2 linked regions of the Neodiprion lecontei genome follow. Each later gene encodes a partner of the first gene's protein in a complex. Links are inferred from orthologs where the notes say so. Each region holds a gene or a part of one and is shown in the gene's direction. Other genes may lie near its edges. The genes, in order: FACT complex subunit spt16 and FACT complex subunit Ssrp1.

Region 1 (5,078 bases):
GTGGCGCTTCGATCAGCAGTTTTACCACCATAAGCAATCACATATCCCTAAATATGTCTTCCTTCTGGAAAGGAGAGCCAAGTTGTGACTATGAAACGAGGACGCCGCTGAGATTTAATGAAGCCTTCATCAAGGCGTCCTTTATCCTTGAGATAAGGAGGGACTATGAATACGGGTGTTAGCTACACTCGAGAAGCCGACGTACCTCCCCAGCAATCCCTAGTACACTACCGTAGTTCTGTTTACACTCGCGAGTGTAGAGTGTAGCTAGCACGAACAAACCTGATAGCTCTGTTCGTTTTAGTTACAATTTCTACACTTTTTACACTTTCCTTAGGAAAGGGCACCTTCCATTGGCTAAATTCAGGGTAAGTGTAAAAAAAGTGTAGAAAAGTGTAACTAAAACGAACTGAGCTACATATACATGTGGGGTATGTTCCGACATACACTGCGAGCACTGTAAGGTGTGACGTCAATTTAGTATACTGCGAAGCCGGTCCTTTATAGTTAGCTATACTGGTTACTGTTTAAACGGAACGCAGTACAGTATACTGTGATCGACATTTTTTGGCGTTACTTTCATTTCATACATCATATTTGTTTCACACTGCAATAAACACAATTTATTCAAATTTTCCATATTTGTTTTTAACGACCGGTATTTTTAAATGACAATATTCAATAATAATAATTATCAATAGTGGAAGCTGTTAAATTTCTGAACGCTGTTGATCACGTGAGCAAAGCACTGATAGCACCTTACCTCGAAAACACCAGTGTTCAGAGTAGAAAAATGACGACGATTTATGACGTCATTTATTTCCCTAGGATACTGCAACTGTATACTGTCAGCCTATTGGGAAATCTGCCGGGGGCGTGGCTTCTCCTTGCGGCAGAAGCAGTAACTATTCTAAAACGCATTTTTAAATCAGCTTTCGTGTTCTTATGTGAAAGCGTGTATTTATTTACAGTTATTAAACTCGAATTTTCAAAAAAAATTCAATAAAATATGAAAATTTCAATACAAGAAATTTGTGAGTTTGCAAATACTCAGCCTAGTCATAAAAATTTTATTGGTGGTAAAGATATACTTGATGCGGGACATCTAATGAAATGTGGCCTACAGCAATCAGATACTAGTTGTGATAATGAGTATAAAATAATTGCATTCTGTCTCCAAACTTCTCGTTTAAAAGATCCACCGCATGAAGTTGTGGGTGCAATATCGCAACATTGGCTGCAATGGAAAATAAAATTTAATGTTTATTGTTTTTTATTTTTTCTGACAAATATTACACTACAAAAAATATCATTTCATATTGATGATAAACAAGTAATTATGAAATGAAATTCTATAGGTAATTACTTACATGTTGGTATGAAATCATTTTTGGCGAAATGTAATGAAAACACTTTTTTTGACTGTGTAACCTCATTCCCAATTTTCAATGCTTTTATCCAAGCTAATCGACGATCAATTACTTCATCTTCACCAAATTTATTTTTGATTACTACAAAACTAGAATTTGCCGAAGGAAAAGTGTAAAATCGAACTGTATTGTTCTTACTAGACTTGCTATTACACCCATACACGCAGCAGAAAGTTTTATTTTTATTTTCTCGTGGTGGAAACTCCATGATTAAATTTTTTGATCAAATATTGAAATTTAAGATGTTTTTAAGTAATAACTAAGCTTATAGATAATAATTGATTACTTAATATTTAAAAAAAAGTTTAACACTTTTAAACTACATTTCTCACATATTATATTTGATATCAGCAGTTTAAGCTTGACCTGCATAGAGTAGTTTATATTTGATCCGTCAGGTAGCGTATCTGAGTGGATGATTTCCCAATAATGGACCGAATTTCTCCCCAGTAAGACCACTGAACAGTGCTCGCAGTGTATATCGGAACATACCCGTGGTTGTTCCGGTCGGATATTACAGGGCTGTGAAAAACGCCTGTAAAAGCCACCATAACCACATTTCCGGAAATTCGGAAGGGATACAAGCTGCCCCTTCTTTCATATACAAACTCTCAGGCTTTGGTTGTAATCCCGCCATGTCCGCATCGGAAGTCGGAGTTTGAGCGTGCCGTCGGAATTTTGGAATCTTGGTAACACAAGTATGCGTGATGAGTTGAAGTTGAACGGTGTACCGTGAATGTTTCAACAAGTCTTATCATTCTCGCCTTAATTCAGAAGGAGTACGTCATCCTTCACATAATAATTTATTGTGTACAAAGATCAACCTAAAAACTTTGTACCATGGCAAACGTATCTCTTGATAAAGACACATTTTTCCGGCGAATAAAACGCTTATACGCAGCGTGGAAAGTGAGTATAACGATGTTAGTCTCGTTTTGAAAACTTTTACTTAATACATTGGCCTTTATAAACATGTCTACTTCTTATACAGGATGGTGAATCCGGCACGGATGATAGTTTTGCGAAGATGGATAGTCTCGTGTCGGCGGTCGGAATTGACGAAGATATTGTATACAGCAAGTCTACAGCCCTCCAGGTATGATACTGATCATATAACTAAATTTATCAATTATCCATTCTATATTTCTAGATGTATAACTATCATAAATTGTTTTACAGAGTGTACAAAAAATTAATGTAAACAAACGATTGAATCCAAGTTGTAAACATTGTATTATTCTTGCTTAATTAATAAATTTGGCGAAACCTAGAGTTCATGGCATTTGGAAGCACAGTATAGTCAATTTAAGGTTCAATTTTGGCCAGACCTATTTTTAACGTTATTGATAGTTTGAATTCGTCATTAATCGTAACCATTATTTAACGATCTTATGATATTTGTATCATTTCACGAAAGGTGTCTCTGGTTTGCTGGTCTGTTATTGACTGCAATTTTCATAATCTTGTCATCCGGCTACGTATACTGATAAAAAGAATTTTATCAAGTCAAAGTTTATAATGTCAATGTAAAACTATGTTGAGAAAAATCTCTATTTTGCAAACTCAACTCCTTCGAAGTAATTCTAAAGTTCCAAAACATGGTTCTTTATTCTTCAATGTTTTGTTGCATCAACAATGCAAACTACAATCTTGTAGAATTTTGATGTCTTCGATCTTTCACATCTTGAAACATCAATCTTTTCAATAGTTCTTCATGCCGCATATCTATAAAATATTTAAAGATGCATGGAACTTTTTCAGACTTGGCTACTTAGTTACGAGCTCACCGATACTATTATGATATTAGCTGAAGACTCGATCAATTTTCTTGCCAGCAAGAAGAAGATTGAATTTTTACGTAGTGTAGAAAATCAGAAAACTGAAGACACTGGAGTCCCTCCAGTAAAATTGTTTGTTCGTGATAGGGTGAGTAATTTAACTGTAGCATTTATTTGGAATTGAAGTATACTTAGCTCGTTAGATTCTGACCATCTAGACTAAGCATTATTTATTTAAGATATGGTCATAATCTAATACCATAAGCAAAATAAATTCTATCTCACAATGAAACTCACTATTGATAAATAATGTTACTCGAGAATATCCTGGTTACACTTAAATAAGATATCGAACAATATTACACTATGAAGATCAAAAGACATAGCAGTAGTGCAAAGTAGAAAGCATGTAAAGAGACTTCATTTTTCATGTTTTATCGCATTTTTAATTGTTAGCAGTAAGCCTTGAGGTCTGGTTGGTATATTTTAGTGCGTTATTATTGATCATTTTATTTCAAATGCATTTTAAAATTGAAATAAATTTCTTAATCTGAAATTACATTATTTGTTATATAGACGGACGAGGATAAAGCTAATTTTGCCAAGCTAATCGAGGTAATAAAGAACAGCAAAAAGGGCAAAACTCTGGGAGTTTTTTCAAAGGAACATTACCCGGGTCCATTTATGGATTCGTGGAGGGCTGCTTTGAAAGCAAAATCCTTTGAAACAGTATGCTAATTTAATTGTATTCATTTAACCTAAATGCTTGAATTTTTTCTGTAATTTTATTTGTCAACTTTTTTTCTATTTTTAGGTTGACATCAGTGCCGCAGCAGCCTATGTAATGTGCCCAAAAGAAGACATGGAAATATTAGCTATAAAAAAAGCTTGTCTAGTATCGGTAGACGTTTTTACAAAATACCTGAAAGACCAAATTATGGAAATAATTGATTCTGATAAGGTACTGGAGTTTTTTTTTTCGAAAGTACACCTGAATCTAAATGACAAATCCTTCGACGTGATGAAACATTATTATGTTTATTCATAAGCTTGTGTTTTACAGAAAGTCAAACATTCCAAACTGGCTGAAGGAGTAGATGCAGCTATAACAAACAAAAAATATGTTACTGGAGTCGATTTGACGCAAGTTGATATGTGTTACCCTGCAATTATTCAAAGCGGAGGCAACTACTCTTTAAAGTTCAGTGTTGTCAGCGATAAAAATACACTTCACTTTGGTGTTATCGTCTGTTCCTTAGGAGTTCGCTACAAGTCTTACTGTTCCAACATAGTTCGAACACTTCTGGTGAACCCAACGAAAAGTATCGAGGTATAGAGTAAACTTCAGCGAATTTTCTGTATCAAATATGTTGTACTACTATTTGTTATCGAAGCCGTCATTTTTTCTCAGGACAATTATAACTTTCTTCTTCAATTGGAAGAGGAAATATTGAAAAAATTGATAGCTGGTGCAAAAATCAGCGAGGTATATGAGACTGGCCATCAATACGTCAAGTCAGAGAGACCTGAGTTATTGGACCATCTGACAAAAAACTTTGGATTTGCTATGGGCATTGAATTTAGGGAGAGCTCTTTGCTACTGGCTCCTAAAACGAATTCATTGGCTAAGAAGGGAATGGTTTTTAATATTAATATCGGTCTTTCCAACCTTGCAAACCCTGATGCAACTGAAAAAGAAGGAAAAATTTACGCCCTGTTTTTAGGAGATACAGTCGTGGTTAACGAGGTGGGGTCCTCATATTCAAAAAGTTATAAACTTTAAATACGAATTCTCAGAAGTACATTTACCAACTTATTATATTGAATGATAATTTGTATAATATTTCAGGGCCAACCAGCTACTGTCTTG
Region 2 (7,813 bases), on another chromosome or scaffold:
CAATACCCTGGAATGTATGACGTAAATATGTGACAATCTGCGCTCTTACATATCATGCAGGAGTTCCAAGGCTCTATGTACACATGAAAAAAAGAACACAACAATATCATGCAGCTTATTACAGTCACACATATTTACACTGTCGAGAAAAAATTTTCTTCAACAAAAACGAATCAACACGTTTCAAGTTATTATATCTGTTGAATCAGTTATTTTGTTTTTAGAACGTGTTAACTTATTTCACTAACCTATGATTAATATAAGGAAGTTTTAGAGTGAAGAAACCACTGAAAAAAACCACAAAAATATTTCACTGCAATGTTGATTCATGATTAATCGAATTTCCAGAATTTCATAACAAGAAGACAAATAAGTTGAGGAAAATTTTTAGATATGATAGTATAAACCATATATTAAAAAACAGAAGATGGTATACTATTATAGTGCACTTACCTGGAATTTTTCAAAGTTCTCACGTTCCAATTCGAGGCTAGTTTTTCTTTGCTGTAGAACTCGCGGCAATGACAGTGAAGCCATGTCCAAGTGAAAGAAAGAGCCTGTTGTGTTTAAATAGCTACTACCTATACAAATAGGTTATTCTTCAGTGACACTACATAATACTTGGTTCGAACGATGAGACATCCTGTTCTCTTTATTATGACTAATGTACTCTTTTACCAACTTTTACGTATACGGTCATATGCACAGACGACGAACGTGTTGCGTATGTGCATACAATATATGCGGAAATGCCTAATAACGAAGTATAACCATTTTAACCTAAGCTATTAATCTACCTTCGGGTTACAATCTATGTACGAAGCAAAAATTTTAACCAGCGAGTCTTAATGTACTCGATGTTGTTTACTTTCTCCTTTTCTTTTATCAATGAACACTTCTCGAATTGAAAATGACAGCTAAGAACCGCATACGCAATATAGAAAACAGTATAAACGGACGTTCCACCCATCCACACTTCCTTCCAAAAACAGATCCGTTCACGCGAAGGTGGGGGCTCAACTCATCGTAAAAGAGTTGTCGCAAGGGGGGCCGGTGGGTGGTGGGGATCATCCGGATCATCCATGTCCCAAGAGTAAGAAAGCCCACAATCATATGGGCCGATGTCTGTGGTATTGACCATAGACTTATAAAAGAGATAGACGACTGACTGCGCGGTATAACGAGGCCGCTGAAGCCCAAACCAAAGGACAGATATAGTCCTAGGCACGGTCTTACATACAGGTCTGACAACTCGGTCAAAATTTCAGTGGTGAGGGTGTCCTCTTATTGAAGCACCGATCGTTTCGCCTAGTGATCACGAGTGTTGCTGCAATTAAACATGTTTCCGTCTCTCTCACACAGCCTGCATCCCTCTATCGCAGCGACACTCGTGGTCACTAGGCGAAGCGATCGGTGCTTCAATAAGAGTACAAAAAAACCCCACCACCGGAGTTGCCAGACCTGTATGTAAGACCGTGGTCCTAGGTACAATACATATGGAACACTAGCGACGCTAGTGGTACGAAAAATAAACCTAATGTGAACGACTACTGTGACAAGGATTGTCAATTCACCCATTTGAGTCGTGCTTCTTGTGTAGTCTCCGTGTTCTGTAGTTACAGGATTCCTGTGTAGTTTCCGTGTATTTCTTGCAGGAAACGACAGCAACCAGTGGCAGAAGCGGCAGTAGCTGAGTTTGGATTTAGAAAGTCTCGACGTTTGAAGAACGGCGTGCCGTTGTTGCCGTCAATTGCGTTGTGCCTTTGTTAATACTAGTGAATTGTGCGCTGTAAAATTATGTTAATTAGTGTTTCAACCCTGATGAGAGTTTGTATTTGACCTTATAACGTGTGTATTTTACCAGAATTTAGATACGTAAATTAAAACGTGTAGGGATGGATTTCCTCGAGTATTCTGATATTACCGCCGAGGTAAAAGGCGTCATGGTACGTAACCTTAAAAGAATTTTATGTAAACACTCTACGAATAATTGTCTTGATTATACCCAGGCAATTAGCAAAGATGTTAAAACACCTCTGTGAATCTAGAACTGATTAGTTTTTGGAAATAACTTGAGAATTTACGAAAAACCTGCGTTTTTTATCAATTTATAATCTACGTCCAAATTAAGTAGTACTCGGATCATATTTTTATCTAATTTAACCTTTTTTTAGTTTATAGTTTATCTGCCAGGAAAATTTCTCTTTATCAATGATTATAATACACACATGCAGGTAATGATTTCATTGTCTTGTTCGTTCACAGACTCCAGGAAAGTTGAAGTTGACTGACCAACATTTGATATTCAAAAATCAGAAAACAGGAAAGGTTGAGCAAATTTCTGGTTCTGATATGGAAATGGTCAATTACCAGAAATTTGTTGGAACCTGGGGCCTTCGAATATTCCTAAAAAATGGAACGTTACATAGATTTCGAGGCTTCAAAGATGGGGTGAGATTGCTTGTTTAATTGTTAATGACCCAAAAATTTGTAAAGAAGCTCTTTCAACATTAATTTTACTTAAAACTAAAGTCATAAAATTTTGAAACGAGTTAATGCGATCTTCTTAACAGTGATTGAATATGTCCTAGATTAATGTGTGAATTTTTATATTCAGGACCAAGAAAAAATAGCCAAATTTTTTACTTCAAACTATCAAAAGGATATGTTGGAAAAGGAACTCAGTTTGAAGGGTTGGAACTGGGGAACTGCAAAATTCAATGGTTCAGTGTTAAGCTTTGATGTTGGACATCACACTGCATTTGAGATTCCTTTGTATTACGTTTCACAATGTAATACAGGAAAAAACGAAGTTACTCTAGAGTTTCATCAGGTACAGCCTAAGATTATATACTTGAAATTCATTTATTTGTGTATTTTATAATACTGAGTTATATTAATGATGTCCTTGACAATCTTGTTTTTTGATAAGAAATGTGTACTTTCTTACGTTTCCTAGAACGATGATGCGCCGGTAAGTCTAATGGAAATGAGGTTCCATATTCCTATAAGTGACAGTGCCGAACAAGATCCTGTCGAAGGATTCCATCAGCAAGTGATGAGCAAAGCGTCGGTCATCAGTGTCAGTGGAGATGCGATCGCTATCTTCAGAGAAATTCATTGCCTTACGCCTCGGTAAGCTCTCCAACCATCCAAGGATTCGACCATTTGTAACAGCTTTCCAATTAAATTTACTACTTGTTTGCAGTGGTCGTTACGACATCAAGATATTCCAGTCTTTCTTTCAACTTCACGGTAAAACATTCGACTACAAGATCCCTATGTCTACTGTGCTCAGATTGTTCTTACTGCCTCATAAAGACAGTAGGCAAATGTTTTTTGTTGTAAGTTTTAATAAGTTGATTTGTTTGCCACGATTATATAATTTGCAAAATACTATTTTCTTACTTGTGAAGATAATGAAACTAATTTAGTCGCCTAAAAAAAAGTTAATTTTCTAACTCTGAAGCATTAGATTGGATTAAATTTTAACATGTATATGAATTTTTTCTTACAGGTCAGTTTAGATCCGCCCATCAAACAGGGGCAGACACGTTATCATTATTTGGTACTGTTGTTCAGTCAAGAAGATGAAACGTCTATTGAATTGCCATTCACAGAGTACGTATAGTATGGATGAAGTTGAAGTTCTTAACGTTAATGTAACAATAAATATGTCGCGAAAATCGGTGTTTCACAACTTTAGAATTGTATGAAATGCTGTAGACCGCAATGAAACATAGTTTACTGGTATTTTTCGAGTGAAATTCGTTTTTTTCAATGATTTGTTACCATAACGTTCGAACTCGTTAGTCTGCTGTACAGAAACCAAAGACTTATTATTTTCTTAGATTGAATCTGTCAGAATGCAAGCTGCAGTAATAATTACGTCATAAGCATTTTAATTGGATCATTTGTTTTCTATATAAATAGTCTCATAATATACATATAAATATTTCAAATAATTCACTAATGAATAAAATCTCTATTATAGATCAAGTAACTTTTATTGTTTCTTACAGGAAAGAGTTGGAGCAAAAATATCACGACAAATTAACTAAAGAGTTATCTGGTCCAACTTATGAGGTTCTTGGCAAAGTAATGAAAGCTATAAGTGTCAGAAAACTTACTGGACCTGGTGGCTTTGTTGGGTGAGAAACTGTTTGCAAACACTTCGAACTTATTGGGTGATTAGTGAAAATAGTTTTAGTGTTCCAGTTGTATAATTTACGTATCGCGTTTCTTTCTGCAATTAGGCACTCAGGAACTCCTGCAGTTGGTTGTTCGTTCAAAGCTGCAGCTGGTTACTTGTATCCATTGGAAAGAGGTTTCATATACGTTCATAAACCACCAATTCACATACGTTTCGAAGAAATTGCTTCGGTCAATTTCGCACGTGGCGGTGGATCAACGAGATCATTTGATTTTGAAATCGAATTAACGAGTGGCGTTACTCACACCTTTAGCAACATTGAAAAAGAGGAATATGCCAAACTCTTTGACTTTATCACATCTAAGAAACTGCGAGTGAAGAACAGGGGCAAAACTGTGAGTAATTTATGGCTGACAATAAAATATTCCCGTAACATTATGTCTGCAAATCAGTATTTACTACTCCTGAACACGAAATATTGAACATTGATTGTACCAAAAAAATTGTATAAATTACGTTGGAGATATTTCTGAATCGGTTATGACTAACCTAAGATCGTTTTTCTTGGATTACAGGACAAACCGAAGTACAACGACGACTTTGGCAACAGCGATCAAGAGGATGAGCCTGATGCTTATTTGGCAAGAATTAAAGCAGAGGTAGAAGAGAGAAGTGATGATAATCAAGAGTCTGAGGAGTCAACCGATGAAGATTTCAATCCTAACCAGGTGACTCGTCTTAATCAATCAAAGTTTACTTTCTATTCATTAGTCACTCCTTCAATAATTCTCGCATCTCTAACACATTACTGTACATAGCTACTTCTTTATTCCTTCATATATACTGGTAATTTTTTTTTTAACTTCGGTATTTTTGAATTGACTAGGATGAAAGTGACGTTGCTGAGGAATATGATAGCAACGTGAGTGCATCTGACAGCGATGCAGATTCAGATGCTTCAGGTGGAAGTGGAAAAAAAGAGAAAAAAGAAAAGAAAGAGAAGAAAGAAAAGAAGCACAAGTCTGCTAAGACTGTTGTGAGTAATAAAATAGATTTGTTTCGTTAACTTAAAGCTTCATTTCAGGTGATAAAATTATGCCTTTGTCTTATGATTTTATTAACAGTCTGAAAAGCCACGAAAATCACGTAAACCAAAGAAGGAGAAAGATGAGAATAAGCCCAAGCGACCGTCCACTGCTTTCATGTTATGGTTGAATAATACTCGAGAGGAGATCAAAGCGAAAAATCCTGGAATTGCTGTGACTGAAATCGCAAAGAAAGGTGGTGAAATGTGGCGAGAACTAAAAGATAAATCTGTAAGTACCGACTTATGAGTTTATAATATTCGGTTATTGCAAGAATCAGTTAAGAGAAATAATCACCACTATCCAAATGTGACGCATTTCGTATCGTCGGTTTTTTTACACAGGAATGGGAACAAAAAGCAGCTAAGGCTAAGGAAGATTATGCAGTAGCTATGAAAGATTATGAGGCCAGCGGCGGTGCCGCGGGCACGAAGGTTAAAGAAAGTGGTAAAGAAAAATCAGACAAGCAAAAGAAAGAAAGTAAGAAAGAAGTCTCTCCTAGTAAACTTATGACAGGTGGCGCTTTCAAGAGCAAAGAATATATCAGTGACGAGGAAAGCAGTAGCGGTAGCGGTGATGATTCCGAAGATAAAAAGGTAAACTGATCATTTGTTTTGTTAAATATTGAATTGCTGTCGGGTAATGTGCATATATTTAGCAAACTGATGCTTTTTCAGGGTTCATCAAAGAAAAAGAAATCCGATGAAAGTGAAGATGAAAAAAAGAAAGTCTCTGAGGATGAAAGTGATTCGGCGAAGAAAACGAAAAAGAGAGGAAATAAAAGACCTGCTGTAAGAACAATTTTTTTTATTTATAATTTTACGCTACTCAAAAATTTATTTGTGTATTGAGACTGGTCGAAAAGTTGAAACTTGGACATTTTTGAACAGTTTATAAAAGTGCGAATTTTTATAAATACTGAAGTCCGACAAATTGGAAATAAAGAAAATGTTAGATAAAAAAGTGTCTTACAAATTGAAAACTAAATCGAAATACATTGAGAATATTATTGCATTGATCATTCTTTTCAATTTCAGGAAACCGATGGGAAAAAGACGAAAAAAGGGAAGAAAGATTTATCAGACGCTGAAGGTAGCGATGAAGAGTTCGATGAACCCGAAGAAAGTACCCCTGCAACAAGTGACGCAGAATCGGAGTAGTGATCGATTCCAAACTGTAAAGTATACTAATGTTCTAGACCGTGTACCTGTTCCATAACAAGTTTTGTAATCCTACCCTGCAGAAGATCGTCCGTGTCACTTAAGTGTTGAAACGGGAATACTCATCCGTAAAACATTATTGTAATTAGCTGCAGCCAAAGTTGCGTAGCTGTTATGTTACCTTTGCAACAGCATTATACTACATTGTGTTACTAGGGCGTTAAAATGTCGAAAATAAATAAGTACTTTTTCATTATTATGACTGGTACAATATTATTTATTTGGTTCAAGGGAATTCCAAATTTTTCTTTATTAATACACATTTACGTCGATGAAGAGACACGAAATTGGGTCTGTTTGAATGACTTTCAACACCACTAGACCATAAAGTAATTCTAGTGCGGTATTGTTATGAGTGTTTTGCGTAATGCTTTAAATTAAATTGCTCTATTTTAATAATTTATTGTTCTCACTGATATGATATAGGCTGGCTATCATAATCTTTTTCATGATTTCGGGCCTTCAGCAATTGCAATGACCCATTTACGAACCTATGTGCCTAACTGTATAACGCGTTATACGTAACCTTTGTTTCATTTTATAGGCATTTGACAATGTTCGATCGAAATATTGCAAACGCTTTCAGATGAACGGAACTTAATGGCAGCTAATTCAGGCGTTGCGAGCAAAAAAAAGTTGTTTTCATGCCATAGTATGTCAGGAAATATACGGTATACCACATATTACATGTATAAACTAGGATTACTTAAGAAAAATTTTGTGCTTATATGCTACAATTATGTAATTTAAACATTGCTGTACCAACTTTTTTTTACCTACTATTAACCTAATATGAATAGTAATGAAACATCAATCAATCGTGTCTGCAACCTTTATGGTAAAGTTGAATTATTATTATTAGTGGATGTAATGGAATACAGGCAGGAAGTTTAGAATGAAAAAATCGTCCGCCAACCGAGTTTATCATTTCAATTAATTGCGACCATTGGAGGAAAGCTTGTGACAATCACTGGGGCAGCCGTGAGATAACATCATTTGCGGAACTCAGCATTGGGCTGATTTTAAGATTCTACACTCTGGGTGCAGTCAATAAACCGTGACAAAAAATCTCAAGGAAAGAAGTATTACCGCTGTTCATCTCTGGTTGGCTCCACTTAAAAATTTCGAAATCGTTTTTCTGTTTTCGTAAATGCCTATTTGTTTAATACGTGACATCGAAACAAGCCAACAAACCATTTCAAACCACAAGCTCCTAAATGATACGGTATAATTTGGGTCACCGCATTGAGACGTATTTACTACTATATCTTTATCTTTTCTTAAACAGAAAAATGTAAGATCACAAGAGTGCATGTGAGATCGAGTAGGAAACGAATTCATGAATAGGCTTGAAT

Evidence for each region.
Region 2: FACT complex subunit spt16 (region 1) and FACT complex subunit Ssrp1 share a complex: the UniProt entries of both Drosophila melanogaster proteins name them as parts of the FACT complex. The link is inferred for Neodiprion lecontei from reciprocal best matches to the Drosophila melanogaster genes dre4 and Ssrp.

Annotation. Positions count from the first base shown.
Region 1 is NC_060262.1:17,193,430-17,198,507, reverse strand, and holds the start of FACT complex subunit spt16, read left to right. Parts: upstream 1-1,918; 5' UTR 1,919-2,270; coding exon 2,271-2,339; intron 2,340-2,421; coding exon 2,422-2,526; intron 2,527-3,191; coding exon 3,192-3,356; intron 3,357-3,784; coding exon 3,785-3,937; intron 3,938-4,022; coding exon 4,023-4,169; intron 4,170-4,271; coding exon 4,272-4,538; intron 4,539-4,619; coding exon 4,620-4,955; intron 4,956-5,057; coding exon 5,058-5,078. UniProt on the Drosophila melanogaster protein: Component of the FACT complex, a general chromatin factor that acts to reorganize nucleosomes. The FACT complex is involved in multiple processes that require DNA as a template such as mRNA elongation, DNA replication and DNA repair.
Region 2 is NC_060264.1:8,687,849-8,695,661, forward strand, and holds the start of FACT complex subunit Ssrp1, read left to right. Parts: upstream 1-1,626; 5' UTR 1,627-1,895; coding exon 1,896-1,946; intron 1,947-2,265; coding exon 2,266-2,451; intron 2,452-2,617; coding exon 2,618-2,833; intron 2,834-2,959; coding exon 2,960-3,135; intron 3,136-3,208; coding exon 3,209-3,344; intron 3,345-3,517; coding exon 3,518-3,621; intron 3,622-4,022; coding exon 4,023-4,151; intron 4,152-4,256; coding exon 4,257-4,548; intron 4,549-4,728; coding exon 4,729-4,881; intron 4,882-5,039; coding exon 5,040-5,189; intron 5,190-5,277; coding exon 5,278-5,469; intron 5,470-5,582; coding exon 5,583-5,834; intron 5,835-5,915; coding exon 5,916-6,029; intron 6,030-6,275; coding exon 6,276-6,398; 3' UTR 6,399-7,813. Other genes in the region: huntingtin-interacting protein 1, read right to left, coding at 454-537. UniProt on the Drosophila melanogaster protein: Component of the FACT complex, a general chromatin factor that acts to reorganize nucleosomes. The FACT complex is involved in multiple processes that require DNA as a template such as mRNA elongation, DNA replication and DNA repair.